4 linked regions of the Schizosaccharomyces pombe genome follow. The protein of the gene in region 2 binds, or shares a complex with, the protein of the main gene of each other region. Each region holds a gene or a part of one and is shown on either strand. Other genes may lie near its edges. The genes, in order: mrp20, mrpl15, mrpl19 and img2.

Region 1 (8,153 bases), on a different chromosome or scaffold from region 2:
CACGTTTCTACTCATGCAATTTATATTGGCAAAAAGCAATCGTTGGAGCGAAGTTTGGCGTCGTTGGGATAATCTTAGAAAGGCTGGTGTTGTTTTCAATGAACGTTTATACAATCACGTATACCTTTTGGCCTTCGAAAGTAAAAATGAGCGTGTCATAAATTATGTACTTACCAACATTTTTGAGGATATGGTTAGCCAGTCACCCCCCATTCCAGCTAGTAAATTAATGGCGACATCTTTAAAAAAATGTGTTCAAAGCTTACCCGAAAAGTATGCACATTCGTTTCCATCAGTGCGAAATTATATTGCAAAAATGGAAAACTCAATGACGCATTGAATCTGATGTTATTGTACTTTCTACGTATGCATATACGCGCATTTGTAATGTTTACTTTAAAACCTACCCCTTCTTTCATTAGTTCAATAAGAACAAGTAATAAATATTAACAATAGTATTTTATAATTTACCCAGTTGTAAATAAACCTAAACTAAAATTTTTTAACGCCGATGCAAAAATTCATGCATTTAGTTACCCAAAAATATAAATTATCGATGCTTTTTTGACGGCCGATTGTTTTTGGCAAGTCGTTTCTCTTTGAGCTCACGCGCCTTTCTAATTTCAACAGCTGATTTAAGCTCACTGTTCACCTTAATACCTATTCCTCTTTCTTTAGCCTCTCTATTACGTTTATTTTGTTTGTGATAGTTATCACGGAACTTATCAGCTGGTTTTGGAGTCTGTAACTTATTATGTTTATATCGCTTATTTTCCCGTATAGGAGAATCGTTGGCACCGAATGCTTTAGATGCTTTCCATTCATCAAAACGACCACTACGATATGTTGCAGGCAATTTCACGCCGCTTTCGCCACGAATTATCTTGGGAGACCCTTTGGACCCGTCTTCGTCGTTAATTATATTAACAAATTTCTTTTTCTTTGGATCCCAACGTTGTCCCCCCTTCCTTGATTGTTCAATTCCTTCGTCATTTGTTAAATCGAGAATAGCATGACGAGCTGCGGTAGTAAAATTTTCACCAGAATTTATAGCATAGCCAGTTTCTTGAATAGATTCCTTTGGAGCGTAATGAGACATATAATACTCTTTATCTTTAAAATCAGTTGTCTTCTTTTTTGATAACTCCTTAGGATTTTTAAATACCTCTTCAAGCTCTGACTCTGAAGCTTCTGACATATTACCAGGAGAACTGTCAGTGATTTTATCAGATGCAACTTCAGATTTTATTCCTTTTGGTTTTACTTTGTTTCTTCTTTTCCGCATGATTTCTGCAGCTTCTGTCTTTAAGTGACCACGCTGACCGATTTCAAATACTGTTTCTGATGGCCGATAAGAAGAAACTTTTGAAAGCAATTCAGCATATTTCTCCTCGGCCTCAATTACCGATACATCTCCAAATAATGGATTGTTGGAACTCCAGCCCTTGCTATCAACCAATTCCTTAGCTCTTTTAGCACTCTCAGCACTACAAGTAGCTCTTGTGCGAAAATATAGTTTCTCACCCCTTGCAGCAACGTTGGAAAGTTGCTGTAGCTCAACGTCTCTCGAAACTATTCTTTGTACCCATTCTAGTAGCTCAGCAACAAGTTCTTGGGGTAATGATCCCAAAACAATCTGTTTTGTAAAATCACAATCCGAGTCAGTTTTAACCTGCTTCGAGGATGTAACTAAAGGTCGGTTTAAAAATAGTTGTAAGTCTAATAAATAACCAGCATCTTCTGCTCTAACCAATGAATACGCCCAGCCAGTGCGTCCTGCTCGAGCTGTACGTCCTACACGGTGAACAAAAACTTTTGGTTGAGGAGGGAAATCATAATTAATAACATTAGCAAGTAATGGGATGTCAATACCACGAGAAGCTACGTCTGTAACGACTAGTAAATTTGTTTTTCCAAGTCGAAAATTATTAATTTCATTGAGACGCGCTTCTTGGTCCAAAGACCCGTAAATTTTTGAAACCGAATATCCTGCTTGAACAAGTAACTCAGAAACATACTCGACATGATGTTTTGTAGGAACAAATACTAGAGTAGAATCTGGTGATCCAGATTCACTTCCTTTAAGCGCTAATTCTAATGCACGTTTTCTTTTCTTCGGATTATTGACATTTCCTATTTCTCTTGGGCGCACGTTATCTTTTAGAGGAAGCTTAATGATATCTTGTAGTATACATAAGAGAGCAGCTTCGCGTTCAGCGGTTTTAACAGAAAAAAAGGCACTTTGTAGATCCGCGGAAACCTTGGATTCTACATCAAGGCGTACAAGAACCGGGTCTTGAAGTCCAGCCTTTGCAAAATCAACAAGAGTACGTGGAAGTGTGGCAGAGAAGAGAAGAGTTTGACGAGAAGTCGGCAAAGCATGTAAAATCTCTGTCAATTGAGCAGCAAAACCCATTTCAAAAAGTCTATCGGCCTCATCGAAAACGACATACTCGATTGAACTCAACTCCAATTTCATTTCCACCTTTAAATGTAGAAATCTTCCAGGAGTTGCGACCACAATATCGGGTTTTCCGGATAGCAAACTAAATTGCTCCTCTAGACTGACGCCACCGACGATAGCGACAGATCGAAGATCCGTACCTTTAGAAAAGTCTTTGACGACTTTCACAGTCTGAAGAGCAAGTTCTCGATTTGGCGAGAGAATTAAGGCGCGAGTATTAGAGTTTGCTAGAGTGGACTTCAAATGCTCAATCATAGGTATAACAAAAGCTGCAGTTTTACCTGATCCAGTACGTGCCATACCTACAACATCACGACCTTCCAATAAAAGGGGAATCGTTTTGCGCTGAATCGGCGTAGGAGCTTTAAAACCCTTCTTAAATATTGCTCGAAGTAAAGTTTGATTCAATCCTATAATTAAGTTAGAAAAATATCAAAGTAATTTAGATTACAGTGTCTTGAAGCATAATGCAAAGTGACCTTATGGCAAGTAATCACGAAGTTAACATACCCATCGATTGGAAATTAGAAGCCTTTCCATTCCCCTTTTTTCCCTTCGTCCTCCTGTTAGACTCCAAAAGCTTCGAGGCAATATAATTACCATCATCTTCATCGCTCACATTTTCACCAACATTTTCGTGCTTATCTTTTTGATTATCAGTAGCAATATCAACAGGAAAAGCTTTTAAAGAATTTGATATATCGACCTCGTCGGACGTCTGGAATCCGGACATTTAAGACGAGTGAGCTGCACTTTTGTTGATTTTTTAGTTCTCTAGTGTCGCTGGCAAGAAAATTTACCGTATGAATAACAACTATCAAAAGGGCCTTCTTAAGTTTGATTTAACATTCTCATTTCAATTGTTCTGCTGCGTTTCTTTATATTAAAAATAAGTAATCCAACGTATTTTAATAAACTATAACGAACTTGAAATAAGCTGCTTTATATGTCAGCAATACTACACTACGCTACGATATACTACGTTGTGTATCACTATATGTCACATGTTCATAATGTTCTATTTGCTCTATCAGCTTTACATGATAAGTTATCTAGAAGGATATAATATCATTTATGATAAGATGACTATCAGTTATAATCCTTGTTATTTCAAATGTTATAAATTGAGAACAACTGAATTTGATTCCTCAGTTCAGTTATAAGATATCTCAGCTATAGATAACGATATATCCTATATATTAGAATACCTATATCCAATTCCTACTTATACTACTTGCGTATTACAATATAATAGATCACAAGGAAAACTCACCGCAGTTCTACGTATCCTTAAATCAGATACCAAATTGCGTAGCTTACATATATTACGTTCTAGGATAATACAACCAGAGACGTTATTTGTTAATAGTATACAACTGAGCTTTGATGCAATAAAGCAACCGGATTCTCAGCACGTTAGTACTAAACAACATTTGAACTCCGTAATCCAACAAATGGTTAATAACTAATCGTTTACCTAAGGCCGTTGACATCAAATTCATCTTGAAATCTACTGTTGAGAAAAACCATTTGTTTCTCTTTTTTTGCATAACTAGCACAAGTTGCTTTAGCCTTGAAGTTGAAACTCAATAGTAAATATGAGTAAAATTGCTGGGAAAAGATTAGTGTACTTTCCAAATATAACGTTCACGTTATGCAGAGGACTAAATCTTCAACCTAAATTTGCAGTATTTCGCGTACCTCTTCATGTTAACAAGTTTGATGTTCGCGATTATTTGCAACATGTGTACAATTTAAAAGTCGTATCAGTTAAGTCAAGAATTTATCAGGGCAAACTTTTTAGAAATCAACTAGGACAGGTTAAGAGACCACAATCTGAAAAACGCGTCATCGTTGAGATGGAAGAACCTTTCGTTTACCCAAATGCCCCAAATGATTTGAAAGATTGGCAGGAGGGTGAATTACTTCCTGATGGTTCTAATGTGAAAACCCTGAGCAGGTATCCAAAGGTCCTTGAACAAGTTGACATGAAACGGGTGAACGAAGAGTTAAGTAAGTTACAAGATAAGCAGATACTCGAATCACAACAGAAAATCGCTAGACTTTTAAAGAAAAAGTATTAGTATTTTTTTCATTTCCCAGGTAATGTTTTATTTTGGTTTCCGTCTATTCATTAATGCCTACAAAAGCATAATTATAGCCTCAAATGCCTCATCGAAGCGGTATGGTGTTTAATTGCATTCATTATAACCTCTCTTCTTTCATCTATTAAACTTTCAACGCCACTTGTTTCATTTTGAAATGTTCTAAAACTATTTTGGAAATTCTTTTCATGTCGGAAAAGCACGGTCGTCAATTAATAAAATAATAATTTTGTATCACAATACTTCTTAAATGCGTATCTCGCAAGTTCCAGCCCTAGTTGAGTACCTTACCCATTTAATACTTTTGTATTTGCTATTAGAAGGTTCACTGACCCTTAAGTATTGCACATGTAGACCGGAGCTGGTAAACATAAGAATATTGAAATCTAAGGATATTGGAGGCTTCGCCCATATTTGCTGGTTAGTTGTATTAGATAACTCTACCTCAGCGTAAAAAATAAGTTCAGTTTCGCCTAAAAACCGGGGAATTTTCCAATTGATAATATTTTCAGAGGGCTCGTACCCTGCCTTTCCTCGATTTACACGAGGATTAGCTTTTACCACATTTGTGGGAACCGGTATCCGAAAGTTCAAAGAAGAAGAAAGTTTGTGTGGATAGTCTGCTCGTATACTGATACGATAAATAATTTTTTGTTTCGACAACTGTTCGACAATAGGAACAATTCTAAAAGGAATATTTATGTTTTCATGTGAACGATAACTCATTAATTCAACCTCACCATCCGGCGGAATGAAAGTAATTCTGTGTTCATTTTCAAATTCCGGCAATCTAACACATTGATGAAACTGGCAATCTTCTAAAATGACAAATCCTCCGTTAACTGAGGACGGATTTCTAGAGTTATTTGATTTAGACTTGCTTTCTGATTGTTTTAATTTAAAATCAAGCTTATCATTTAGCCCAAACTGACATTCAGGCATTCCAGAAAGCATTGCACGCATTTTCACGACACCAGAAACATCTGAGCGTAGCACATTTCCAGTAGAGCTAATAAGTAAATTCATTCTTTCAACAATATCAATGTAGATACTATTTTTTCTATACTTAATGCCAGCTCTACGCCATGGTACAGACCCTGGTATTTCAGAGGAAGTGGTGTGTGCCAACTGAGAGGAATGAGACCTTTTCAAGGACAGTGCATTGCCTTTCTTTTTGACAGCTGTTATGCTGACAGATCTTGCAAGTGCGTCAGGTTCAGTAGTCTGAATGATACCATAGTCTATCATTTCATCCAGCAACTCGAAAATAAAGGAGACATTGTCTTTGACTGTATTTTCATTCAGTTTCCCAAAATAATGTGTCAAATCTTGAATTAGACTCTCCAAAAATTCCAAAACAATCATAACATTTGGATTTCCTTTGGTAATGGCAACCACGTAAAGATCCTCGTGTTTCGTGTAAATGTAAGTACTTGATCCAATACTGACAATTGGGTGCCGATAATCAGTATTTGTTAGAATAGCAACGCGAAAAATTTCAGTTACTGATTTCCTTTCAAATGAAAAATTAGTGAAAATGAATCAAAAGCACAAAAATGTAATCTACATACTTTAAATCATGCCGAAAAGTCTTGCAAATGAGCGTGTCACCTTTCAGGTTAAAAATAAACAATCCCTAATATAGTTAGCTACAAATAGAATATTAATACTAACCGAAATCATGGAATATTGATAATATGCAAATGTAACAAGTACTGAGTATCTGACTACAGGCAGTTGAACGTAGCTTTGAACGATATGCAACGAAACGTACAGGCTATTCAACCCCGTTATAAGAATAAACGTAGACGGTCCAAGAGGTATTTTATTGCAAATGGAATAGGAGAAAATTATGCCATATAACTGTCAGTAAACAAGATGCTTTTAATAAAATTAAATAACTTTATTTCCTAGTAGGATGATTGAGGCAGTAGCAAGCAATACATTAAAATTTACAGTCCTTACAGAATCATGTAAAAGAGATGACGTTTCGACTGTCTTGCGGTCATTACCAATTTAAATTGGTGAATGTCGAGTAATGTCTTTGCAATAACTAGCAACTGCTGAAGCAATTCTATCTTTGTTTGATATCGCATATTAATAAGATGCTTATAAAGAGGTAAGTAGGTATTTAAATTACACCAACGACTTTTCATTCCTCAACTTCGCTTCTTGCAATTCATAATGCAAGTGGATTTAGTATAAACTAGTATACTTACAGTAATTACATAAAACATGGACCAAGTTTTATCGAAGGTTACAACTACTGCAGCAACATATGCAACAGCTTATGCTGTTAGAACTGGACTTCAATTGGCTGGTTCCCTAGTTGCTAAACGATTCTCTAAATACATACAAGTATGTTGGTTTTTTAAAAATGGTTTATAACAAATTTAGACGTCTGCTCCAAAGTCCTCTCAGTTTAACTTGGAGTTGGTAAAGTCGCGTTTAGAGCAAAAAATACAGGTATGCTACAGGAGCGATTATTGTGAAAATACGCTCTTTACTGAGAACTTAATGTCTGTTAATTCTTGAATTTTGCTTTTCCACTAACTTGAATTTTACAGGCTATTACACCAGCCGTAGATTTAATTCAACTTGTGTAAGTTTCTAATACATCAATACCAAGCTACTGTTTCGTAAAACAATTGACTGTTTAATTCTGTAGTCCGTTATGGTCGATGAAACTAACTTGGAATAGTGCTGCGCGTGGAAATTCAAGTCTTCAGAATTTAGTTCCCTTGATCATCAGGCTACGAGACCATATTGATGATTTTCTAGAGTTTATTGATTATGAAGCATCTGGCTCAGAAAAGAAAAGCCCTGAAAAGGCGGATGAAGCTTCGGAAAAAATTTTCCGCCGTTGTGAAGTATTACTAAGAGAAATTGAGGAGGTAAATTCATGAAGTCAATGATTGTTTACTAATCTGTAATAGACTATTCCTCTAATTAACCTATCATTGACAACGGCGGGCATAACCCTTAACACAGCTTTAAGCAATACTATTTCGCCATCCAGACTCCTTCAAGCTCAATGTTTTTTGGAATTGTCTGATAAGAGGTTCGAAGAAAGTCATACTGAGATTCAAATAGGTCCTAAATTCACCGTTGTGTTGTATACCTCGTTTTCTCAACCTTCCAAATCGGATGGGCCACTGGATGTCCGATGGCAAGAGACATTTGCAAAGTCCGATCTGTATATTAAACGCGTCGTATCTGCGTCGCAAAAGTTTTCTTACGTGATCTGTATAGATGAGGATTTGAATGATGGAAGATATCACGAAGAAACAGTTGGTAAACCGACGTCTGCGCCAGTTTTTGGGAAAAAACTTGAAATAAGTTTACAAAGGATGTCTTTACTTTGTTATACTGTTTCTGGTAGACTGCTTAATATTTCACAAGCTAAATCTCCTGTTCTTGCATTGCAGCTAACATCTATAAAAGACGTATCTGCTTTAGATAAAGCGCATCAGGATAATTCGGAAGATTTAAATAATCCGTTTATTAAAAATAACGATAAAACTAAGTTTCATCAAAATATTGACTGGATAGCTTTAGAGAAATATTTCGAAGTCAATGCATTG
Region 2 (8,434 bases):
CCAAACAAACTGGGTGTTCTATAATAAACGGTTAGTAATGTATTAAAAGAGTGAAGACAATATGACACTGAATCAAAATAAAATAATGCTGACAAATTAGTCTATGTTTTAGTAATAGATTACAGTTACGTTATGGAACTAAATAAGAAACTTTTCTTATAATCAACATTTATTATCTGATTTACACATGATAGATATATTTACCTTGACAACAGGTAAAACCCTTTCTTTTAAAGGCTTGACAACTCGTTGTTTTGGCTCCATTATAGCAAAGTTGTTATTTTCAAAGTTTTAAAGATGTGGCTTTTGTTAAGTTAATATCCAGCAAAAAGTATGTTGTAATAGTTGTGATAGAGTACAATGTACGCTTACCAATGGAAGATCCTAAATTTTCCTACATCAGAAAAAGAAAACCTATGGAACTTCTGTGAAATACGCTAGTACACGTTTTGACTAGAATTCTTTTAGCAGGAATATAAGCGCTTAAAAAAGGATTTACGCCTTTGAGTAGCATTCAAGCTATTACAATTAAATAGATTTAAATAGGGGCTACACTCTTTAGTTTTCTAAAATCCAATTGTTTAAGTCTAGCAGACACTCCAGAAAGCTAACATAATTCATTTACGACCCTTGATAACAATGTACAAGAAGCTCTGACTAAAATTTTTCAAAGTGAAATGCTAAAGTACGATGTTGTTTGTTACGCTATCTGTTCTATGTTTTACATGGAAACAATAAATGGATTAATTCTTGCACATTTACTAGTGGACAATAAATGGTTCAGATTCAACATTACTATATCACACTTGTATTGCTCGGCAACCTTCAATAACTTCTATTTAAAAATAACTAGCAAGATCTAAACTGGCTCTAGAGTATTCTCGAAGATAACACTTTGTGGATTCCGTTTTGAGTCCAGACGTTCTGTTAACAACATATCCATACGTAAATTGTTAAGTTATTTGTTGGCGAAGACGAGTACTATAAACGAATTTTGAGAAGCTTGGTATAAGTAAATGTTAGACTGTCGAAGTAATACGCCCTATATGTGTTCATGCCAAAAGAAATCAATAATATAGTTGACAATTTGAAATGCAGTGTATAATTTAAGGCAGTAAGAGACGAAAGTAAAGAGGGAAAAGGAAAATCATGTACTGTTATCACTTTATTCTTCGTTGATTTTCTTCTTCTTTATAATCCCACTATATTTGGTGGATTCATAAACTCGGTTGGTCCATGTTTATTTTAATTGATTTTCGTTAGCTATCTTAAAAGAAATTGGGCGGAAGATGCATCATAATGTTTAAACCAGTTTAGTCTGATCAGACACTAGTAAAAACGAGAAAACAATACTTATCTACCAATGAGTTTTCAGGCATCTATAAATATCGTTCTAATAAAAATCGAAAAAACAATCACAACTAACAAGAAAATCTTTTAAGAATTCTCAATCTTTATAACAGTCAATTTTCTTAAATCTAAGCTAATGCTCGCGAAATTCTTTGGTAGCTCTGAGTTAATAAATCAGAAAGACAAAACAAATCATTCAGGTTGAGTACATTTATACAGTAAGATTCCAACCAAAGCTTCCATATATGATATCTTTTGTAAACTTAAGGAAAGAAATAACGAAGCGGAATGTAAACATTTATTAAGTGTTTATACGTTCCAATACGTTAGATCTTATTATAGCGATTATAATATCAATTTCATATCTATCGCCGTATCGTTAATGTGATATAACAATAGGTTGCGATAAGGAAGAGGTTACACGGTCATATAGCCATACTCTCAAAAGATTAGATAAATTAAATTTTAAGTAGTACTACCTCCTTTTTGCGTTGGTTGAAAACTTGAAAAACTGACTCTGTTTTAACAATTCTGAATGGCTTCTTCACAAAAACTTTGGGGCGGTAGATTTACTGGCGCCACTGATCCCTTGATGACAGCTTATAATGAGTCTATTCATTATGACAAGCGCATGTTCAATGCCGACATTGATGGCTCGAAAGCTTATGCTAAGGCATTAGAACAACGCGGAATCATTAGTGCTGATGAATTGGATAAAATGTTAGATGGTTTAGAGGCTGTCCGAGATGAATGGAAGACAAATAAATTCACTCTTCAACCTTCTGACGAAGATATCCATACTGCTAACGAGCGCAGATTGGGAGAAATAATTGGTACAGGCATTGCTGGTAAGCTTCATACAGGAAGAAGTCGCAACGATCAAGTTACGACCGATATGCGCCTTTGGCTACGTGATGAGTTGGACATCATCCAAAAATCTTTAGTTGGGTTACTCCAAGTTTTTGTTGCTCGTGCAGAGTCTGACCTTGATATCATTATGCCCGGTTACACTCATTTGCAAAGAGCCCAGCCTATTCGCTGGTCCCATTTCTTATTGTCTCATGCCTTTTCTATATTAAATGACTTGGATCGCTTGAAACAAATTTATTCTAGAGTCAACCGACTCCCTTTAGGCGCTGGTGCACTTGCTGGTAATCCTTTCGCCGTAGATCGTAAGTTCTTACAAAAGGAACTTGGTTTTGAAGGGGTTATTATGAATTCAATGAATGCTGTAGCTGACCGCGATTATGTTATTGAATTTATGTTCTGGGCTAGTATGGTAATGACCCATATTTCCCGTTTGGCAGAGGATCTTATTATATATTCTACTTCTGAGTTCAACTTCGTTACCCTTTCCGATGCTTATTCAACTGGAAGTAGTATTATGCCTCAAAAAAAAAATCCCGATTCTTTAGAACTTCTTCGTGGAAAGTCTGGCCGAGTTTTTGGCAACATGATGGGCTTTATGGTTTCGGTTAAAGGGATTCCTTCAACATATAACAAAGACCTCCAAGAAGATAAAGAACCGCTTTTCGATTCTTCCAAAACTGTTTTGGATTCCATTCAAATTCTAACCGGAGTTCTTTCTACTTTAACTGTAAATCCAGAAAATATTGCTAAGAGCTTGACTGCGGACATGCTAGCGACTGATTTGGCAGAATACCTTGTGCGTAAAGGTGTTCCCTTTCGTGAAACTCATCATATTTCCGGGTCCGCTGTCCGAATGGCCGAGGAAAGAAACACTACCATTGATAAGCTAAGTGTTGAAGATTTTAAATCGCTACACCCATTATATGAAGAAGATGTTGCAGATGTTTTCAACTATGAATCCAGTGTGGAGAAGCGTTGTGCGATTGGTGGTACCGCTAAGAGTTGTGTATTAGAACAAATCCAAACCATTAAAAAGGCCTTGGAGTAGATAAGTTTACATGAAATGATATGGATATACTTACTTTTTCTATATGTTCGTTTGATCATTTAACAGGGCTTCCTCAACATAATTCCCCGAATCGAGGTTTTTTGGTGTAAAACGGGCAAATAAATAATTGTAGCCTCATAATAATATTTTAAAAACACGTAACTTAAATCTTAAATCGTAAATATTCATACTGAATGAAGTAGTACTTTTAACCTTTCGTCTTTCTCCTTTTAACATTATCATCATCGTCAGATTCCCCTAACTCGTGAATATCTGCTGTATCGTCTTTTGATAATACAAGCCCGAAACCTGCATCAACAATTTGTCCGTCTTTTCCTTTCTTTCGCTCTTCTTCTTCTTTGCGTTCCTGAACTTTGGCAAGTCGATGAATTTGAGACATAAAATTCGTAGGTTTAAGATCGCTATATTGATTTGTATCAAAGACTTTCTTATGATAAGGCGCATCCAATTCATGATGACCTTTAAGCTGAAAAGCATCCTTCGCCTTCAACTCAGCAGGCTCTTTATCATTTTCATGAAAAGGATCATATTCTCCAACCTCCTCGAAAATATCGAGCTTCAAATCAACTGGTGGAAGTGGTATATCATGCTTAACAAAGCTTTTCCCTAAGCTATTAGCGTTCACGTTTAATTTCTCGGTTCTATGTTCATTTTCTAAACGTTCATTATCATTTTTTAACTTTTTTTCCTTCTTCACAAGCCGTTTTAGGATTTCACCATTTTCATCAAGCAAATATTTAACTTTTTTTCCATTTTCCAAAATTTTACGATATTTCGGTTGTCCATTAGGATAAAGAGGTATCTTCTTTTTTTCTTCTAGAATAGAAACAGATTCAGGATGTGATGACTCCTCAGCAACTTTCTCTAAAAGCTTGTCTGCTTCTTCGTCAACTTCTTTCTCACTCGAAGAAAGCAGAGAATCATCCAAGGCTAGCTCATTAGAGCGAACTTTTTCAAGCAATTTTCGATCAAGACCACGCACGAGATGAGTTGTATTCAAATCTCCGCCTAATTCTTTAGATTTTTCTGAATATTCTTTTGTCGTAATTTGGCCATTGCGAAGTTTCTCGTGCAATTTGTGCAACTCAATATCCTGTTTGGAAGAAGGCTCTTCATAAAATTGAGTATCTTTCCCTGAATTTTTTGCATTAGAATGTCTCGTAATGTCTGACGATGTAGAATGACTTAGTTGTTTTCTTTTAATTAGGGCTCTGGGTGCTTCCAATTTGGCCGTCTTATGTTTACGACCAAAAACAAGTCGCTGACTTTTATTCGATGAGAAATTTTTTAACTGGGAGGTTTCGGCTTTTGGAGTAGCTAAAAGCTTTCTGAAATCATCTTGGTTCATTGTGACAAATTTTCAACCAAAACTTCAGTATCCTTTCAATTAATTGTTTCTTTGGAATAACTTTGTAGTAGTTGTTTATATACACTTAACAGTAAAACACAAAATAAATTGTAAATTATTGAAACAGTTTGATAACATTAGCATACCTTGACGTTCGTACACTGTGATCTCAAGCGTAGTGCGCTATTTTACTACTTCGTAATCGGCCAATGTTTTTTAAAAACAACCTATATTCTAGTTGCAGAAAACAGATATCTTTTCTTTCGAAAAGTTGATTTTCCATACAAGGGTTTGAGGAACTTGAAGCTCTTTCTAAGATTTTATGCCATCCGTATGTTAACAAGACATTGTAATCGTTTAGGACTTCAAATTGAAAATAAATTTGTGTTCAGATCATCATCATGGAATTGTGTCCGTCGAATTGGGAAAATTGCGTGTAATGAAAATAAGTACAGATATGAAATGACATCTACAGAAGAAGACATTGACAGCTTTTTCAGTCGTGTTTTTGGTGAAAAAAATTACATCTCAGACAAATCTCTAAGAGAACAAATTGTAACTCATAAATCTTATAAACATGGGCTGAAAAGATATAATGAACCTTTCGTTTCGGTTGGAAATGCAGTTATCGATGTTTGCTTACTTAATCATTATTTGGAATCAGGAAACTTTAGCACAATACCTTCATACAAGGATTTAGTAAATCTTCGTTCCCCTGCTCGACTCGCTGAAGTTGCAAAAAAATGGAATCCTGAAACTGCCACACAATGTATTTTGCCATTAAAAGGGCCTAATTCTCCATCTTCGTCTAGTTTTGAAAAGATATACAGTAGTATTGTTTCCGGACTTGTTGCTGTCGTTTACTTCCAAAAAGGCGGAGTTGAGGCTATGAATTTTTGTAAGAAAAGCATCATATCAGATTTGACAAAAGATTTCGTGAGACCTAATACCGTGCATAATCAATAAGATGTGTAGCAGCAGGATAAAATTCTTTATGCAAAGGATGCCATAATATAGTACATTTTGCCATACGCTTATTATTACTATCGATTTATTTAACGCCTCTTTCATTCAGTCAGTAGTTAATAATATATTTCATATTTATCAACATTTGTATAATATAAGCTGCATCCCAAAATCTTATTGATCGAGTTGTAAGTCATTGGCATCCATTCACAAACTACGTTTTTTAAGCTCCCTTATCTTTTTCAGCATATCTGCTAAACACTGTTTTGAAACCAAACCGTCACGCATATTCTCCTCGTATATTAGATAATGGATATTTCGTGCCCATTGGTAGAGTCTACGACCTTGTTGCAGCTGGCGTCTGACTTGTCCGATGGTAGAAGGAAAAATTGCAAAAGGGATATTTAATTGGACCAAAACTGTTTTCAACATGTTGGCTGTTTCAACACTACACTGTTGATCTATATGCTGAAGGCCTAGCCGATAATAAAGTTGTTTTTCCTTAGCCAGATTAAATCTAGAATCAGGCATATTTAAGGAAGTAAGAGGCTGTGAGGTATGGAAAGTAGGGATGGTAGATGAAGCAGGTGTTGAGTAGCTTTTGTTCTTTTCGATCATTAACTCACTTTCATCTGACAATTTTGCATCAAGATTATTGGTATTAATAACATTTCTTATATCATTTTTTGCAGGGGCTGTAGACCCGTCATTCAGCATAGTATTCTCCTTATTATTTCCTTTGTCAGTAGTCTTTGTGGTTATTGCATTTTTTGAGCTTTCATTTGATTCTTGATCTCCATTTTGAGAAGTATGCCGAAGAATTTGTATCTCTTTACGGGCTTGGGTAAGTTCCTTACGCAAGTGCTCAAATTGCAAAAGAATAGCATCAAGTGTTGATAGCTGAACTCGTATTTCACTTGGAACCGCAATTTGAGATTTTTCATTATACCTTCCGTTGCCTTTAAGGTTAAAATCATTGCTAATAGTAGCAGATCGTACCTGCTTCGTATCAGGTTTTTGCTCTTTAAAGTCTTTTGTGCTTTTAGGGAATCGTTTTGGAGGACAAAGTGGAGTAGAAACAGTTGTTGACATTGTTGTGGGACAATAATCCTGCTGATTCATAAGCAATTGCTTGGTTATATTTTCAATCTGTTTATCTCTTTGTTGGCATTGATTTGATAAGGATTGTATTGTGGCATTCATCTCCAAAACAATATTAACAAAAGAAGGAGGTAAATCGGTAATGGCTTGTTTAAAAGGATCGATGTCTTGATCATTCGACGACATCTGTTTATTATTAGAAAGATTTTCCTGAGCCTTTTGACAATCCGTAGATTGGATAGGTTGACTAATAGAAGAAACACATGTAGATGAAGTAAGAGGATAGCCAGAAGGCGGTACTGGATATGACTCTGGTACAGTTTCCAAATGAACATTCCGATTTTGAAGCTCCGGCTGTGAGAAATGTTGTTGTGGATAACCTGAACTCAAAGAAAAATTAGGCTCAGGATTATATTGATTAGGGCGAGTGACTGGGGGTGGTACGTTACGGCTTGGTGGAACCTGTAAACTTTTTTTAGTCTCTTTAGATTGCTGATTAAACACTTCAGGGTCCAATCCATCTTGTTGATTAGGAACACTAATATTATCTCGTAGCTGTCCTTTTGGACTTTGGTCATAAGAGCTGGTGTGTGATTGAGAAGGTGGAAATGAAGGTGAATTGGAGTGCATATGACGAGCACTAGGTGAATCAATCACTTTCGGGGCGACATTCTTGTAAGGTGTACTAGTATAAGATGCTTTCTCCGAGTTAAACGAAGGCTCATGATGTCTTTGAGCATTTTGACTATTATCACCAAGTTGATGACGCGGATCCAGAAATAAGTTGTTTGAACCTGGTATTTGCTCTAAAGGAAGTCTTGTAGAGTCATTGGGGTTCGAAATTTCTTTTTTGGTGTTTTCTTTAATCGTAGTACTATTTACGCCATTAACAAGCTCACTTATTTGTTCATCGTTAAGTCCATCCAACAATTCAGCTATTCGATCAATTCTAGCGGTACGAGACGGATCTGCATCTACATAATATTAGTTACATTTTCAGTTGACAGACTTTTCGAAAAAGTATATGGACGTTACAGGTGAATACCCTTCAAGCCAAAATGTATGTCATAAACCAATTTCCCTCTTAAAATAGAAAACATTTAGTTCATCTACAGATGGAAGAAGACGGCATGAGTGTAATTACCCAGTGTTTTCAAAAGTTCACAATACAAGTTGACATTAAACTTTACCTACCTTCGTCAAGGGAGTCAAAGTATATACTGTCACCCGCAGATGGATGACTATCAAAATGAGAATGACCTAACCATCGGTAATCTGTACTCAAACTATCACCAAAAGCCTCATCCATTCTAAAACATGATTAAAAGGTTTAGTTTGTGAGTAGCTGACTTAAAACTAATATTGTTACCCAAGAGTGTAAGTCACATGCTCGAAATGTAAATAAACACCAGATAATAACAAAAAGTTGTTAACTAATTATGAGTATATAAATCATTCAAATGTATCATTAATTCTTGTAAATAAAAAGTTTTTCTATTAGAGTTACTAGAAAAAATGAATGAATTTGAAAAAGTGTAAAGGCAGACATAGCCCAAATCCGAACTTCTTGAAAGTAATGATTCTAAAGCCATTATATTTTCTAGTACTTAAACTTTAGTTTAATTTTATATTTATTGGAATTATTTTTTTTTCTAAAATACTCAAGTGCCCATAATCACTGAATTATTTTCTTTTTATTTGTAATAACGCAGCAAATATTTTTCCCAAAT
Region 3 (7,709 bases), on a different chromosome or scaffold from region 2:
GGTTGAGCAGCTATCAAAATTTCAAGAGGTGGTTGCATTTTTGAAATCGGGAAATCAACATGAACTGTTATTTAATCGCCATCATCCGTTAGCAAATGTAAATGAACTTGAAAAAGTAAAGCTTGCTGCTAGACGTGTAGGATTGGAAAGCCCCGAGTAAGCTGATGTCCAAAAGTGGTGAATTGATGATTTATCTGACGATATACTCGACTGCCTTTTCCGTTATAGAGCTTATTAAAAAATTTCAAGGGTGTACTTTATCTCAATTTTGCGCATTAAAAATTTACTTTTTCCGCAAAACCTCGTCCGAAATTACTCGTTAGTTTTTTTGAACTGTTTCTTAGTGATGTCTTTTACTACATGCTAATAACGAAATTCTGAATTCTTTGTGACCAAAAAAATATATTTTTTAACACTTGAGTTATGCTATGCTCTGTGCTTTATGGAAGTTTAAAATTATCACCCTTACTACTTGTACCGGAAGATTTTTAAATGAGCGTCCTAATGCTCCTGAATTAATATATACAAGAGTCAGGATAGGCAAGTACTTACGGAAAGGAAATGAAATTTTTGGAATTCTCTTTTTTGTCCTGCTAAAATTGCAATATATTAGAAATGGTCTTATGAAAAACACTTAAGAATATCATATTTAGTTGTAAACCCATTTTAATGAATTTTTGAAAAGAACTTTAGAAAATATGTGCCAGTATAAAGATTGAGTTTCAATTATCAATTAATGAAAAGCAAATTGAAAAGTTATTCCTAATGCCATAAAAAGGCGAACAATTTTAACATCGTAAATAAAAGTAAGTAACAATACCATGATGTTACTTGAAAAAGTAAATCATCGCCAAGATACAAAATGTCAATCTACCAAGATCAGATTCGTCCTCAAATTGGTTTTGTTTGCTACAGGCTATTAAAGTAGTACAATTGTTTGTTGAAGGTATGCTCGTTTGTTAAAAATAATATAATTTGATTTCCTGCAATTTTGGCGGGTATACTTTTCGAGTCTGCATTATAACATGCGCATGTAGTATAAAATATAATGTTTCACATCTATTTGACAATTGACACTAACTTGAAAAAGATCCTAACCCTTTAAAATTTTGAAAACCTTCACAAAAAAATTGACTTCTATTTCCTGCGACTAAGAGTGTTCTGATTGAAATTGACATTAGTAGGGGAAATTATAATTAATATCTTTCATATCAAGACACTTTAAATTTTAATTCTATTTGATTTTGATTTCCTTGCGTTTTTAATGCGCTAACGGCAAACGTTCATTGATTTCATAAAAAAGTTTCGTCGGGTTCTATACACCTCAGGTTTTCAACCAATATTAATATATAATTTGAAAATATATCTATCCTTTTTGCTACGATGAGTGAACCGGCTGTTGTCTCTATCCTCGATACGGATCTTTACAAACTCACCATGCTTCAAGCCGTTTTAGAGCATTATCCGGATGCTCAAGTATCATATAAGTATACAAACCGGTCCCCAAAAATGGCATTAAATCAGGAGGCTTATAACTGGTTACGGGAACAAATAAGAGGCTTACGGAATTTACATTTACTTCCTGAAGAAGAGCAATGGCTTCGCAAGAACTGTCCTTATTTAAAGGAATCATTTTATGAATTCATGCATGAGTTCGAATTTGATCCTGAAAATTCAATTTCCCTTAATTATGATTCTGAAACTAAGGATCTCTCAATCTTTATTCACGGCCTCTGGAAGAATACCATTTTTTATGAAATTCCACTGCTTGCTCTCGTCTCAGAATCTTATTTTAAATTTGTCGATAAGGACTGGTCACCTGAGGGTCAGTTTGAAAAAGCTTACGAGAAGGGTAAGCGTCTCATCCGAGCCGGATGTGCCTTTACTGACTTTGGCACTCGTCGTCGTCGTGATCCTCACACCCAGGAAATTGTTCTCCAAGGTCTCATGAAAGCACAAGAGGATTTTAAGGGCCCTGGAAGTTTCCTTGGTACATCTAATGTTTACTTCGCCGCCAAATATAATCTAAATGTCTCTGGTACGGTTGCTCACGAGTGGTATATGGGCATTGCAGCTATTACTCAAAATTATAAACAAGCAAATCGTATTGCTTCCTTAAAGTGGGTCCAAACTTTTGGTACTAGTCTTTTAATAGCCTTAACGGATACATTCTCTACTGATGTGTTTCTCAAATCTTTTACAGCCAATTCTGCCGACGATTTAGCCAATGTTTTCCATGGTGTTCGTCAAGATAGCGGTTGTGCTGAGGAATACATTGAAAAAGTCGTAAAGCACTATAAATCAATAGGTGTCGATCCTTCCACAAAAGTAATTGTTCATAGCGATGCTTTAAATGTTGACAGATGTATCGAACTGTACAAATACTGCGAGAAATGTGGCATTAAGTCTGCATTTGGCATCGGCACAAATCTTACCAGCGACTTCCAAAAAGTTTCCAATCCCAGTGAAGTGAGCAAACCTATGAATATTGTTATTAAGCTTTTTTCCGCTGAAGGAACTAAAGCAGTGAAGATTAGTGACGATATCATGAAAAATACTGGTGATCGTGATGCTGTTATTCAAGCCAAGCATCAATTATGCCTCCCTATAGCATAAGCCATTTCTTTTATTTTCGAGCGTTTCTGCAGTACTAATCTTGGTTTTTTTTTTCTTATTTTTTGATAGATAGACAGAGTTTGAGGCTCTCTTTTATTGAGCTGCATTTCATAAGGCGTGACTTAGAGTAAACATAAAACTCACACTTGAAAATCTTCATTTTCTTTTCTGCTTAGCATATCTGTTTCGTTATCTATATTGATAGTTTAATGCTAAAGGTAATCATTTAGTCTAAGATGTGTTTGTAAACTAACGGTATGCAATTCTTTAATTTTATATGGCAAACGTGTTTTTTTACTTTGCTTGTTTAACGAAGGAATAATATAAAACAACTAAGAAAAGGAGAAAATAAGAAAACAGGGACAACGTTTTAGTCGGTAATAGTAAAAAGTCATATCATTAACTGCTTTTATTCAAGAAAAAAGAGGGGAATAGTTTATAACAAGATAGAAAAAAAAATAACCTCAAGTATGACCAGTTACAAAATGCTCTGGCGTCTCATAAGATTAAGGTACGACTTTGACGCCCATGCTTTTAGCTGTTCCAATGACACTTTTACAAAGAGAAAGAAGCTCTATTCCTTGTAAGCTTGGATCAGTACTTTTCAATTTGGCAATTTCATATATATGCTTCAAGCTTAATTGTCCCTTTATATCATGTAATGGGGAACTTGAACCTTTTTCAAGGTCGAGGGTTTTAGAGATTAACCAACTGGTTGGAGGAGTATGTATAGTGAAAGTAAATGTTCTTTGAGGTGTGACAGTAATTTTACAAGGCACTGGGGTATTTGGCATCCAACCTGCCGTCCGCGCATTAAATTCTTTACAAAAGTCTATGCTCTTCAACCCGCGAGCACCAAGGGCAGGTCCAATTGGAGGCGTAGGCGTAGCTTTTCCTGCCGGTACAATTAATTTTATGATTGTCGTTCTAGTAGAAGCCATAAGGTTAAAGAAGAAAATACAGTTGTAAGTTGTATGTCTCTCATGCAATAAAGTAACATGTTCTTCCTTAAAAATAATTGTAATTAGAATAATAACTAATTTGAAATATTTGGGTGAATTAATTGTAATGTGTTTACTTATTTGTAATATTAAAGCTTTTAATAGCAGTCAGAAAAATTCCCGAATAGACCAAATGTGTCCTTCTCTTCTGCTTGATTGAATAGAAGTAAAAGTATTGACATTAAATAGGCAACTCAGATAAATGGAAAAGACGTTTTCATAAACGTTGTTCGTTTTAGGATTTTTTTGAAAAATTTTAGTTGATTTTTGAATCTCAAATACGGATTAGTTAAAATGTCGCAAAATTTTTCATTTGTTGAACAACAATAGCGCTGAATTGAAGCCGTTTAAAAGAAGCAAACCAAAATTTAGCTACATAGCTTTTCAAAGTTAACTCCTTACTATCAATTAATATATTAAGTTTTTAGGGATTGGCAAATATCCTAACTAAAAAGCATGATTATTTCATTTGAATCACAAGCTGAAATTAAATGGTCTTTTCTCAGCTATTTTATTACTTTCAATAAACATTTTACATACCATTTTATGGTAAACAAAGTAAAACACATGTTTACTGGAAGTCACAGTCTGTCACTAGCACATGCCATCGATATGTTTCTTTTTCCTAATGTGTATTGTAATTAAAACTATAAAGGGTTTTCACCTGAAGTGCTTGGGCTATGTAGGAATGCTGTCACGCGATGCAGCTTGAATAATTAGTAGAAATAAAAAGATTTCAAAGTGCAGATTTCTATTAAAACTCTACTCTTAAAATTAATTATTACAAACCAACGACTATCTTATTAATTTCCATCCTAACATGCTGAGTGAAGTTTGCCATAATCATCTTAACCAACTTGCTATTTACTACACATTCTTAACAATCCATCGTTTTCAGCGAATGTAAGGATGTTAATAAATTAAAATGCTTTTCTATCGATTTAAAAGTTGGTATAGGCTTCAAGCCAAGAAAAGTCCGTTTATTTACGTTGGATTGCCGTTTTTGAGCTCAGTATTATTAGTCTGGTCATGCTTGATCCCCATTTCCCAAGTCAAATTTAACAGACGAGATGAACAAGTTAAATCCTTGTCCCGGGATGCAGAGTTAGACATTATTAAAAGAAGAAGAAAGGTCGACGTTAATGAAGAATATTATGTAAGTAAAGTGCTGATCTTGTTTTACAATATTTAAGTTTTGGCAACCAGCTGCAAAGTGCATTTGCTTTTCGTGAATTTACATTCACCAGTTCCTTTTTTATTAACCACCTGTTATAGAGGATCTTATTAGATCAGTTGAATCTACAGAACGAGGAGTACGAAAATAAACGTGTAAAGAGGTTAAAAGGGGAGCCTACATGGGAAGGAAATTCAAGCGATAAAGAATGAATAATGAACGATTTTATTGTTATTTTGTTCCTTTATTTTATTATTAATTATGGAGTATTGAAAAGGATACAAGTTTTTGAAGTGAGAATGCTGAAGACGACTTTATGATACAGAGTGTTTTAGCATATGGAAATACTCAAATAAATAAAGCAAGAATTTTTTTTTCTAACATGAGAATAATATTTATGTGGCTCATATATAATTATCTTCAATTTAAAGGACCAAATACTTACACTTAAGCATATTCAGTAGAATAAACTTTCAATGAAGATATTTGAGCGTAAATTTCACTATGAATATGTCACTCAAGCCTAAAAGCGTTTTAATAATAGGAGCATTCAGAAAGGTTTCTTTACTAGTAAACGGTTTATTTTTGGCTTTCCGTTATATATAAGTAACTTGTTAAATAGAACTTGTTTTGAAAGCAATCAAATAAGTGCCATCTCTCTTTATTATATGCTTTGGACCATTACAATTACTAATGATACTAACGCATGGTCTGATTCTATCTACTGTTTGTCTAAGTTGTAAAGAAGCCTTTTCGAATGCGTTTACAACGAAAGATGGAGGAGCTAAGGACAGTATTCAAATAGTGACACACTGTTAATAAGGATTAAATTTAATATTAATTTCTTCTTTATAATGGTAATACTTGGTATTGCATCGTCTTTAAGTCATTGAAAATTATATATATTATCCAGAAGCAGTGAACAAACTAACGCACTATAGTAAACAAAAGATCTCCAATACCCGTAAAAATTTATTTTTAGCGTACGACTAGTTTGGATTCCTGGTGAACGTTCTTATGTATAAGACGGCGTGATATTTGCAAAGCTGATTTATTGCATAGGTGATATTAAAATTATACAAGCCGAGATATCATATTCGATTAATCTAAGTTATCACAAGCGAATCCACTTAGTTAACAATCTACCACAACTTATAAATGGTTTTGTTACTTGCTAACTATGCCGAAGATATGTACATATTTGCTAAATTGAAGCGTTTAACGAGTAAACCAATACTTTTAAACAATAAAGATTTCATCGATTTTTTAGCGTATGCTATATGCAAAAAATTGGTATTTGACCCGCTAATGTTTACTGACATACTTGTGCAAATACTTATGAGGCATGAAATTGAAAACTTATTCAGATGAAATGACTAAATTTTACCCTTTCCCCGAAGAACTGTAAAATAATTATGAAAGTTCAGCTATGTCATCGATCTATTACTCGATGAGCTATTGCACTAAATTGCAATTTTTTGTGCCATATAAATTTGTTCCGATTGATTTGAATCGGTGTTTTGGGAATATATAATGTACAAGAGAAAACACCAACCAAAGTACTTTACTTTCATTTCCTTTTTAAATATCCGCAAACAATACATTGTGCTCTTTCAATAATTTTCTCGAGCTACTTGTTATAGTATACCAAAAAAATGAGGGTTGAAACTAACTAATAGACGCAACAATTAAAAGAATAGTTAAAGCCTCAATAGTTGAACCGAACGGCCTCTTTGAAGCATTTGTAAGCAATGGCCAGATCATGATCAGTTACTATCAAGCTCACCAGATATTTTTAACTCTAAAACATTGGTAGTCACTTGATTGAGTAAAAACATTCATGGATAGAAATTTTTCATTGTTAACTTTAAGCATCAGGTGGAAGATATCTTAAAATTTCAAGTCCACTATGTTCAACTTACATACCGGTTTTCTAATAAAAGCACTTTAAACTCCTGCATTGGAATTCATATTAAATTTTCTGACTATTGTAACTCTCAATTCTTATAATATTTTCATTGCTTTAGTTCGTGATTTATTTACCTTAAATTGTTTACTGCAACATAGCGTATATATCAAACATGTGCAGTAAGTACTATGAAAAACATCAGTTTGAGTAAACTAGTGCCAAAATGAGTAAAAGCATTACTCATCTCGTCCTCGATACAGGTGGGATTATCTGCTCTAGTACTTTATTAAGAAATTCTGCGGAAAGCTTTTATACCATTCCTCGAGTGATTGCAGAAATTCGAGACGAAACATCGAGGAAAAATTTTGAACTTTGGGGCGATCAAGTAATTCAAAGAGTTCCAAAACCAGAATTTATAAAAAAAGGTATGTTTTATTAAAAAGAAAGTTGTATAGTGGTTGAAGAAAGCAACCAGCTAGATTTTATTCTGTGCACAGTCATCTCTGAGAAGTGAAAGCAAGGTGGGTGAAAAAGCTTAATCATATTGGAATTTGATCGCTTTCTTACACCTGCTATTCTTTTCAACTACTTCCATCATAAATACTTTGATTCTTGGTAGCAGCTTTCTAACAAACTATAGTTTCCGAATTTGCAAAGCAAACCGGTGATTACTCCTCACTCTCTGTAACCGATATTCAAATTTTGGCTTTGACTTATGAGTTAGAAGTCGAGTTTAATGGTGGTGACTGGAGACTTCGCAAGTATCCTGGTCAAAAGCATATCAATGGAAAACCCCCTAGTAATTCAAATTCTACTGAAGATGCATCTAAACCCACATCAAGCGATACAGCTTCTGTAAAAGAAACTGAGAACAGTGATCCTAAATCCGCAGAGAACGAAGTCTTGGAAGGTGAAACGACACAACATTCCAATAATAAAGAAGCACATCCGAATACTGAAGAAAATAAAGAGCAAGAAGACAATGAGGAAGATGATGAAGATGATGGAT
Region 4 (8,589 bases), on a different chromosome or scaffold from region 2:
TAAAACCACTCCTTTGAAAGCAGTTCTTCAATGAATAGGTATTTATACCTTTGGCGTTAAGAGAATGTTCAGCAGAAGCATCAATTGGTTGTTGTTGAGTTATATAATCACCAGACAATAATTTATTACAACGACATGAACATCTCGTGAACAGATGAGGCCCATTTGAAGGTTTAACAGATTTCTCATTGTTAAAAATTTCGAATTTCAATGGAGAATTACAGAGAAAGTGGTTGTTCGCCTTACTATTACCAGGAAAGTTTGAAAAAAAGTCTTTCATCTGACTTATCGATTTCAAATTCATCCATTCTTGTTCGATTGGAAAACTCCTGCTAGTAGAGAACAAGTTTCGAATATTTTTGTATAGCAATTCATTATTTTCAAGAGACGTTGATGTCGCACAATAACAAGCTGGCATTAATAAAAAAGAAAAAGAAAAGGAATAAAAGGCTTTCGATAATCGAATACAAATGAATGCGGTTTGTTCGCATTCAAGGAAAGTAAGGTATTAATGTCAAGAAAAAACAAAACAAAAAATTCAACACGGAAATAAAGTGCCTTATATCGTGTCAATGCTTAACCACTTTTTGATAAACGAAAAAAAAATAACAAAAAAAACAGAAAATCATTAAATCATGGATAACCGTAAGTATTTTTCGAGAAAGCCTCAGTTCACTAAAGAAAATATAATTCCCAACATTAAGAGTTATTCAGCTTATAATCACCAATAAAAAAGGGATAAACTACAAGGAATTTTCTTCTCGTGAATAATTAATTCATAAGCAAATTGTAAATCAACGTCTTCAGAACAAAGCAAAAATTTTAAAAGCTAAAAATGTTTGTCAAAATATTCCTATCACAGACAAATCCAAGTTCAATTCAAAAATAATGAAAAAGTCGTTGAGATTTCAGGATTATAAGTATGTGTGAAGGGAAAGGTAAAGAACAGTCCATGGGCGTATGACGCAGATATATAGATTATGTTTGAAGGTATGTTTTCGATATAGCATTTAATATTTGTCAATTTACAAACTATACAATATTGAGAAAAGAATTTTTAATTTAGTTATATACCCTAATAGCCTTAAACGTATTCTGTCTATAACTACAGTCAAAAAATAAAAACACCGGAGTTTCGATATATATATTATAATTTCCTTTAAGCGTTTATAAATTCAACAAAACAAACGAATAGGTAGCAAAAAAAAGATTGTATTTAGCATTTGGACGCCTCACATTAAGCAGATGTTTGAATTTCTTTTTACGCAAGTACCTCTTGAATGTTTCTACTGAAGCTCGAATAACTATTTATTTAAAGGTAGTTAAGGAAAACCATCACAAAAGATGCATTTTTTCCATTGTCAAGTTTGAAAACCACGTATGATGAGAAGAAATGAATCGAGATTAATTATTTGCAACAGCTGTGTTTTATTTGACATTATCACCGCTGTAACAAGGAGATGAAGTAAAAGTAATATGCTAAAAAGCCAAATTGATATATATGCTCGAGAGTTTTATGTTGATAAAAAGCAACTTTATCATTCCTTTGAAAGAAGGATACGTACATACATAGTAACAATCTAAAAAAGGAAAAATTCTAGGAACTTAAAAACCTTGGTCTTGTAACCATTCACGAACTGTGACTATGTGATTTCCCTTTAGGACAACTTGATTTGTTAACTTGTTTACATAAACATCTTTCGGTGACATTTTAAGTGTGGAAATGAGCCTGAGCCGCAAAGCCTATTGATAAAATATTGTTAGAAAAAAAAAAGAGAACGAATAAAAGAAGTTAAAATAAACTTGGGTTGGCCGTTAAAGCAAAAAGTTGATAGAACAATTTCCGCAGCATAGTGACTTTACTTGTACTTTCTTTAGCCAAGAGATTACTGCTGACGGAATATGTATACTTACATTAGAATCACCATGGATTTTACGAATTAAAGTCAGAATTTTCGTTCCTCGTTGTTTGTAGTCTAGATAGACTGGGAGATTTTTTGAAGGTGTACGTGAAACATGAAACCGAAGTGATTCGGATGCAATTGTTGAGTTGAACCTCAAATTTGATAGCACTGGCTTTAAGGATGATCGCATTTGGTTCAACAAAACTTTCTACGAGTTGCAGGAATTTATGGTGGATGTGTAAAAGAAGTCGTCGTGCATTCGCGAATAAAGAGGATTTCTATCATAACCTCCAAAAATTTGTAAGTTTTAAACAACTGTCAAACAGGAGCCTAAGATTAAGTGATTCACTAAGAACAATTAAAATAAAATAAAACGCTCTTGTTTTAAATAAATTTAATCGGTGCTTGAACCTCACGCGTGTTTAAACTCGAAAGTATTTTTACGGCACGGAATATACTTCAGCGAAGGTGCATACTCATTAAATTAATACTATATTTTGGAGTAGGCATTTAGGTGTTCAGCTTGTTGTTTTTTTTAATTTCGAACCGCTTTCCTACAATAAAATAAAAAATAATAATAAATAGCAAGAAATCTAAGTTAATTTGCAAATAAAACTGATCATTGATTCTAATAAAGACAAAATGGATGGATAAGTATTGCGACCAACAACTTCAATGAAAAGCCATAAGACCTAAAAAAAGTTATCCCTTTCTAGATGATTTTAAGTGCATTAAAGAGAGTGCTAAAAAATTAAAGCGATAAGGAAATGGTAAAACGAAAAGGGGTGTAAAAATCAACGTAGGAAAGAGATTTCATATGTAACTAATTGATATAAAAGATCTTGAAAGTTATGCATTAATAGATGATACAATCATATTTTGAGCCAGCATCTTATTTAGAATAACACGGGAAAGTACAATTAGTCAGTATACGGGAGTATAGGCAAGGGGAAGGATTACAATGTAAAATAGCAGGAATATTGAAAGTTACGACCGACTAAGTTGCCGAGCTAGTAACTTCTACCATTGATTCTTTGACATCTCCATTTGTAGGTTGAGAAAGAAGCAAAGTATGGGAAGTTTGAGGAGCAATTAGGCCCATGCGGTCGTAAACTGAGCGTGCGCGGATGTATTTATCCAAGTTCCAGTATGCATCAATAAGTTGTGAAGCTAACTTACGACGTTTTTGTTTCACTTCTGCCATGTCACCATTGTTCAAAATCCAATCCATTGTAACTTCCTCGTACTGTTTAGCAATTGCATCCTTTTTTGCTCTAAGACTCTTACGAGCTTCAACATTCTTCAGAGCTTCTGCTTCGTTTTGACAGGGTTCTGGATATGTATATCTCCATGGATTAGGCCCACCGAATTCTTTTAAAATATTGTCAGGATTTATATATTGTTGCAAATCACGATAATTACGAGTGAATTTAACCTTTGAGACAACCACTGGATCAAGCCAAGATTTGATGATGGACCAAACGCCTTGGAAAAGCCAAGGCGCTTTGTGTACAATACATTCACCCAGACATTCGGGATAGTGTGCTTCAAAACACTTGATCATGAATTTCAATGGCCCATAGTCCATATTGGACATACTGAAATCAGTCATATCAAAAACAACAGTAGCAGTTTCAATAGGAGGTTTGAGAATTAAACGAGCAGTTTCCATGACCCAAACTGTGAGTCGCTCAACCGATTCGGGTGAGACATCACCAACTTTATGAAGACGTGCGCGAATATAACAAACTGGACGATTGTGTTTATCTTCACCGAATATAAAACACTTTCCGATTCTTAGTTGACGCACAAAATCATCATCTTTATCAAGGTGGTCAGCGTTACATACAATTTCACCAACATTCATCTCTCTACTTCTCCAGTGAACGGTTTTCATGAACATTTCCAACGCAGCCTCAACGTTCCATTTTCGAGCACGAAGGAAACGAAGTAGAAGGCCATCAGGATCATCACAATTAACAGCATCCCAAAAGCAAACTCTAAGCCCTTCCGGGTCCCATTCACTTGCAATTTTTTCAACTCTTTCCAAATGCACATTTTTGGTTTTATCATTAAAACTGCGAGTGTCCGAGCCATGAGATGAAGACGTTAGTTCAAGTCGTGTACGGGATTTCGCATATGAGACGCTGCTTAAACGATGTGATGAGGAACTACTTGAATCATCAGATAAGTGTGTCTTCACTGTGTACCAAGATTCAGTTCTTTCGAGTAAAGTAATGCCGAAGAGCTTAAACAAATAACTCCACATAGTCTTCAACTTCTCTTCTTCAAGTTCTGTGAGATTCCACGGTCTACCGGCTCCTTCAGGCATATTTAATAAGTAAATTGCGCGCAAACAAATATAATCTAGAAAAAGTCCAAGGAAAAAATATATCAGATGAAATCAATATTAATAAAATTGAACTCAATTGAGAAGGAAATTACGAGAATAAGCCTAAAGAATGGAGGTTAATCTCGAAGATATATAATAATTTGAAAAATTGGCAAAGATAGACAAAAGAATGTGACGAGTCAAAAATACACTAGCCGTCAATTTGCTTCCTTTTGGTCAGAGATGCGAAACAAGCTCACTGAAAAACAAAACGTAATGCTTGTAGTAGAAAACAAAATAATATAGGGAACTTAGTTAACCGAATGAATGAATAAAAAAGAAGAATCACTCGACAAAAACTGAGTTGGTATTTTAAAAAAAAAGATAAAAAATTCCTCAGAGGACTATAAGTGGGCCTGAGAAAAAGCGTGAAATAATAACAAAGGGAGAGGAGCTCAATAATTTCTAATTCACCTTAATGTATATCAAAGTGATATATTAATGAATATGCAACGCACAGAAGGAAATGGATTTTTTTATGAAAGCAAAACGTAATAAAATAAAAAGTCACCTACAACTTTTTAAACGGATTTAGATTAATTACCTATTGGAGGCACAAAACGCGTCACAAAAATTAATGCAAAGACAAAGCCGTTCAAAAAGCAAAGAAAAGAAAACAGAGCTTTGAGAACATTCACGCGTTTAACACTTTTGAGAAATGACGGGGAAATTTTTAGGATGCTAAAAAGCGGAATTTTAAGACTTCCTGGTTTAATTACTTTAGCCAAAGAAGTGATCTAAGCTTTATAATTATTAGTAGTCGGTATTTTAGGAATCACTAGTATGCCGAAATTACGAAACTAACCGATCAACACAGCCTCTTCCTATACTTACACAATTCTTGGAATTAGTAGCAAGAATTAAAAGAAAAAGCCAACGAATATTAACCAAAATATATTTTTTCAAGGTACCAAACGCCACGAAATGCAGCTTACCTTCCTATGCGAAAGAATAGAGCGCTGAAGTATGGTGTGGTGTAGAGTGTCAAAGTCAGAAGCTGCGTTGCAGAACCATTTATAAACAACAACGCAAACCGTTCGTCCGTTGCTGTGATAGAGTGATACATAATATCAGTCAATTGCCTTTACCCGCTACATTACCTAGGAAATCGTAATAAACGAGCGTTATAATTTCATTACGTTACAAAACCACTGTATTAAATAGTAGAATCACCCAATTTTTGTAAAACTAATAAATTCTTAGCATATCACAATGTGAATGGAACGGTAGCTCCTATGTAAGAAATAAGAATGTTAAAGTTGGCTTTTAAGCAGTTTAGCAATTTTTCTGCGAAACTAGTAAGTAGATGCAAGGAAACTGGTTTCCACATTGTTTGGATTAACTCTACCTTTTCATTCATTGCTTCCAAGGTATTGTTTGTTTACGTACACCCTAACTTGACTTGAAAAATTTTAAACTAAAAAGTTGCTTTAAACATAAATTTAATAACTAATCATTATACTAAAAGACTATATGAATTGAATGGGCTTATCATAAAAAACATATAAATCAAAGGAAACTTTGTTTGCCAATTCCACTCTCAATAGCTTGCTCATTGCTTATTGATCTTAGACGTCAACTTGGCTTGCTCAACTAGGACACGAGGTGCATCCAACATAGGCATTACAAGCTCAACTACTTGAATGACATCTGCATTTGCAAACTCCTTGTCGCTAAACAACTTTTCAACGTCAGTAGGAGTTTTAACACAGTAAGTGCGGAAGTGGTTTTCAGCAGCTCCGAAAAACTTGGGAATCTGTTGGTAGCCCCATTTAGTGTTAATTTCGTTATAGCTAGCATGCAAACCATGAATTAAACGCTCAATGGTGTAACCGTCGTTGTTAATTATGAAAATAATTGGTTTGAGGTTATGGCGAATGCAGGTTGAAATCTCTGTAATCGTCAGTTGTAAGGATCCATCACCTACTACAAGAATGGTACGACGATCGGGCTCTTTAGAATCGTGGACGGCCAAAACAGCACCAAACATTGCACCAACGGAGTATCCAATAGATCCCCATAATACCTGGGAAATGGCTGTTACATCCTTTGGAAACCTGCAATCAAGGACACCAAAGTTTGCAGTTCCAGTCTCGGTGATCAAAACATCTCGGGGCTTCAAAAATTCACTAAATTTAGGCCAAAACCAGCAATGAGTAATCTCGTTGGAAGAATATCCTTCCGCATGCTTAGGCTTGATGTTGTAGCCAATGGTAGGAGCAGCCTTGGAATGACACATAGAAGCATCAAGTACTTTCAACAGTTTGCGAAGAATATACTTCATGGCTACATTTGGATAAAGAGCATATCGAATGCGCATGTGGTCTGAATGAAACTCAACGGCATTCTTTTGGCTGAGGTGGTAAGAGAAGGAACCCGTGTTAAAGTCTGATTTGAGAGCACCGATGGATAGCAACAGATCAGTGGATTCAATTCTGTCTTTAACTTCAGGATCTGAAATTGAACCAACATAAACGCCGTCAAAAAATTGCGAAGTTTCGTCAATTGCAGATTTACCCATGGGAGTTACATATGTAGGGAAATGGGTCAATTTAATCAGCTCATGTACTTCTGGAACGACACGATGTCTTACAGCACAAGCGTCAATTAAAATCACTGGTTTCTTTGCATTGACAACCATTTCCGAGATATGATTGATGACTTCTTGCTCAACTGCTGGATCGTTAGTATCCTCCTCGAGCTTTAGTCTTTTCCCAAGATTTGATGAAGATGCTTTGAAGTAGCCAGCATCAGAAGGAATACCAATGTAAACAGGCCTAGCCTTTTTATAACAAATCGACAAGGCTTCATCGATCTTTTCAGCTGCATCGTTTCCGTTATCGATCATTATACTGTAGGCAGAAACTTTCTTAAACATATCCATGAAAGTGCGAAAGTCTCCATCTCCTAAAGTATGATGAAGCAAAGCTCCAGTATCTTGCACCTTTGTGGAAGGCATTCCAACAATATGAACTACTGGGACATGCTCCGCATAAGAACCTGCCACTCCATTAATAGCGGAAAGCTCTCCCACGCCGAACGTTGTAACAATGGCTGAAAGACCATTAACACGAGCATAACCATCAGCGGCATAAGCACCATTCAACTCATTGGTATTGCCAACCCAACGAAATTTCTCATCTCCAACTTTCTCAATTAAGTCAAGTAGAGCTAAATTGAAATCTCCTGGAACACCAAGAATGGACTTGACCCCTAATTGTTCAAGCCTTTTGAATAGATATTCACCGACTAAAATATCCCCACTCATGTTTGATAATGCAATTTAATGTGCTTGTGAAATATACTCAACAAATTACAATGCTGAGTGTGTATTCCTTTTTCGCAAGATAATTATCTGTTGAATAACCAGCAGATACTTTCTGAACTTAAAGGAACAAGTGAGTTTGCTAGCTAAAAGTTAAAAAGATATAACCTTAGATGCTTCAGAGCAGGGTTACTCTGGCTATATAAGCAACATTCCGTCATCAATGATACATTGAGTTAATGTGGATTATTCTTTTTGAAACTCTTGGTACGAAACCACTCGTCAGAGGCTATTTCATTATTCGACTCAAATCTCACTATGTGCCACCCGGGAAAACGTCAACTATGCAATTTGCAATTATTGATTTAAGGCATCGTCAGCAGTTTATACTGGACGATTCTTCGGTTAGTGTAAGCAACTGCAGAAATTATTATGAAAACTCTACATCACCGAACGTTCCGTCTCGAAATTCTTAATTGTATCTATACCAAAGACAAAATTGATACCTTTTACATTATGTCTAAACTGAATTTAATGACTATTCCTTATTTCAAGCTTATTAATTTACATGCTTTATTGGTTTGTACCATGTTTGTTTGGATACTTAACATTGAGAGCTGAATGTGAAATATTGTTTCGTCCGTAAAAGTAAGGCGTACCTCATGGTTACGAGACCATGTGACCACTCAAAAATAGAATCCTCATTATTATAAAGTATCCAAAAGTCTTTGAACATATTGCTGTAATTATGATTTCACATGAATATTAACGACATTTTTCAACCGAGTTCACGATTTGCCTGACATCTAGCAATATCGATTTCACAATTGATGGACCATTTATAGGCTTCTTGCTTTAATTCTGATTATTTTTTTCATTGTTATATTGCTACAGTGTTAAGCTTCAACTTGTTGTTTTTCTGTTTATCATATTGATTTGCAAATTGTAACGCTCCTTGCTATCCTCAATAGTTGCCATGAGCCAAACGGTATAGCAAGAAGTGATCTCCAGCACTGGTTCCCCCACCC

What was found.
Region 1: mrpl15 (region 2) and mrp20 share a complex: the UniProt entries of both Schizosaccharomyces pombe proteins name them as parts of the mitochondrial large ribosomal subunit.
Region 3: mrpl15 (region 2) and mrpl19 share a complex: the UniProt entries of both Schizosaccharomyces pombe proteins name them as parts of the mitochondrial large ribosomal subunit.
Region 4: mrpl15 (region 2) and img2 share a complex: the UniProt entries of both Schizosaccharomyces pombe proteins name them as parts of the mitochondrial large ribosomal subunit.

Annotation. Positions count from the first base shown.
Region 1 is NC_003424.3:398,998-407,150, forward strand, and holds mrp20 (mitochondrial 54S ribosomal protein uL23m), read left to right. Parts: upstream 1-3,888; 5' UTR 3,889-4,062; coding exon 4,063-4,548; 3' UTR 4,549-4,815; downstream 4,816-8,153. Other genes in the region: ATP synthase complex assembly protein atp25, read left to right, coding at 1-340; ATP-dependent RNA helicase Dbp10, read right to left, coding at 551-2,874, 2,975-3,197; AP-2 adaptor complex subunit Apm4, read right to left, coding at 4,816-6,082, 6,141-6,205, 6,244-6,252; SPOM_SPAC31A2.10 (Ran GTPase binding protein), read left to right, coding at 6,805-6,927, 6,967-7,035, 7,137-7,171, 7,271-7,463, 7,506-8,153. UniProt on the Schizosaccharomyces pombe protein: Component of the mitochondrial ribosome (mitoribosome), a dedicated translation machinery responsible for the synthesis of mitochondrial genome-encoded proteins, including at least some of the essential transmembrane subunits of the mitochondrial respiratory chain.
Region 2 is NC_003423.3:4,360,219-4,368,652, reverse strand, and holds mrpl15 (mitochondrial 54S ribosomal protein mL57), read left to right. Parts: upstream 1-4,861; 5' UTR 4,862-4,970; coding exon 4,971-5,603; 3' UTR 5,604-5,771; downstream 5,772-8,434. Other genes in the region: tts1 (tetra-spanning protein 1), read right to left, coding at 1-18, 205-264; arg41 (argininosuccinate lyase), read left to right, coding at 1,886-3,268; SPOM_SPBC1539.02 (uncharacterized protein), read right to left, coding at 3,477-4,637; SIN component scaffold protein Sid4, read right to left, coding at 5,811-7,678, 7,899-8,013. UniProt on the Schizosaccharomyces pombe protein: Component of the mitochondrial ribosome (mitoribosome), a dedicated translation machinery responsible for the synthesis of mitochondrial genome-encoded proteins, including at least some of the essential transmembrane subunits of the mitochondrial respiratory chain.
Region 3 is NC_003424.3:3,202,978-3,210,686, forward strand, and holds mrpl19 (mitochondrial 54S ribosomal protein uL11m), read right to left. Parts: upstream 3,564-7,709; 5' UTR 3,558-3,563; coding exon 3,123-3,557; 3' UTR 2,985-3,122; downstream 1-2,984. Other genes in the region: F1F0 ATP synthase assembly factor Fmc1, read left to right, coding at 1-160; npt1 (nicotinate phosphoribosyltransferase), read left to right, coding at 1,384-2,616; cytochrome c oxidase assembly protein Cox16, read left to right, coding at 4,543-4,773, 4,893-5,003; ribosome biogenesis protein Nob1, read left to right, coding at 6,924-7,125, 7,341-7,709. UniProt on the Schizosaccharomyces pombe protein: Component of the mitochondrial ribosome (mitoribosome), a dedicated translation machinery responsible for the synthesis of mitochondrial genome-encoded proteins, including at least some of the essential transmembrane subunits of the mitochondrial respiratory chain.
Region 4 is NC_003424.3:584,572-593,160, reverse strand, and holds img2 (mitochondrial 54S ribosomal protein mL49), read right to left. Parts: upstream 2,095-8,589; coding exon 1,915-2,094; exon of another isoform or gene 1,744-1,914; coding exon 1,606-1,743; 3' UTR 1,009-1,605; downstream 1-1,008. Other genes in the region: SPOM_SPAC3H8.04 (chromosome segregation protein), read right to left, coding at 1-418; csr102 (sec14 cytosolic factor family phosphatidylinositol transporter), read right to left, coding at 2,902-4,236; pdc202 (pyruvate decarboxylase), read right to left, coding at 5,849-7,564. UniProt on the Schizosaccharomyces pombe protein: Component of the mitochondrial ribosome (mitoribosome), a dedicated translation machinery responsible for the synthesis of mitochondrial genome-encoded proteins, including at least some of the essential transmembrane subunits of the mitochondrial respiratory chain.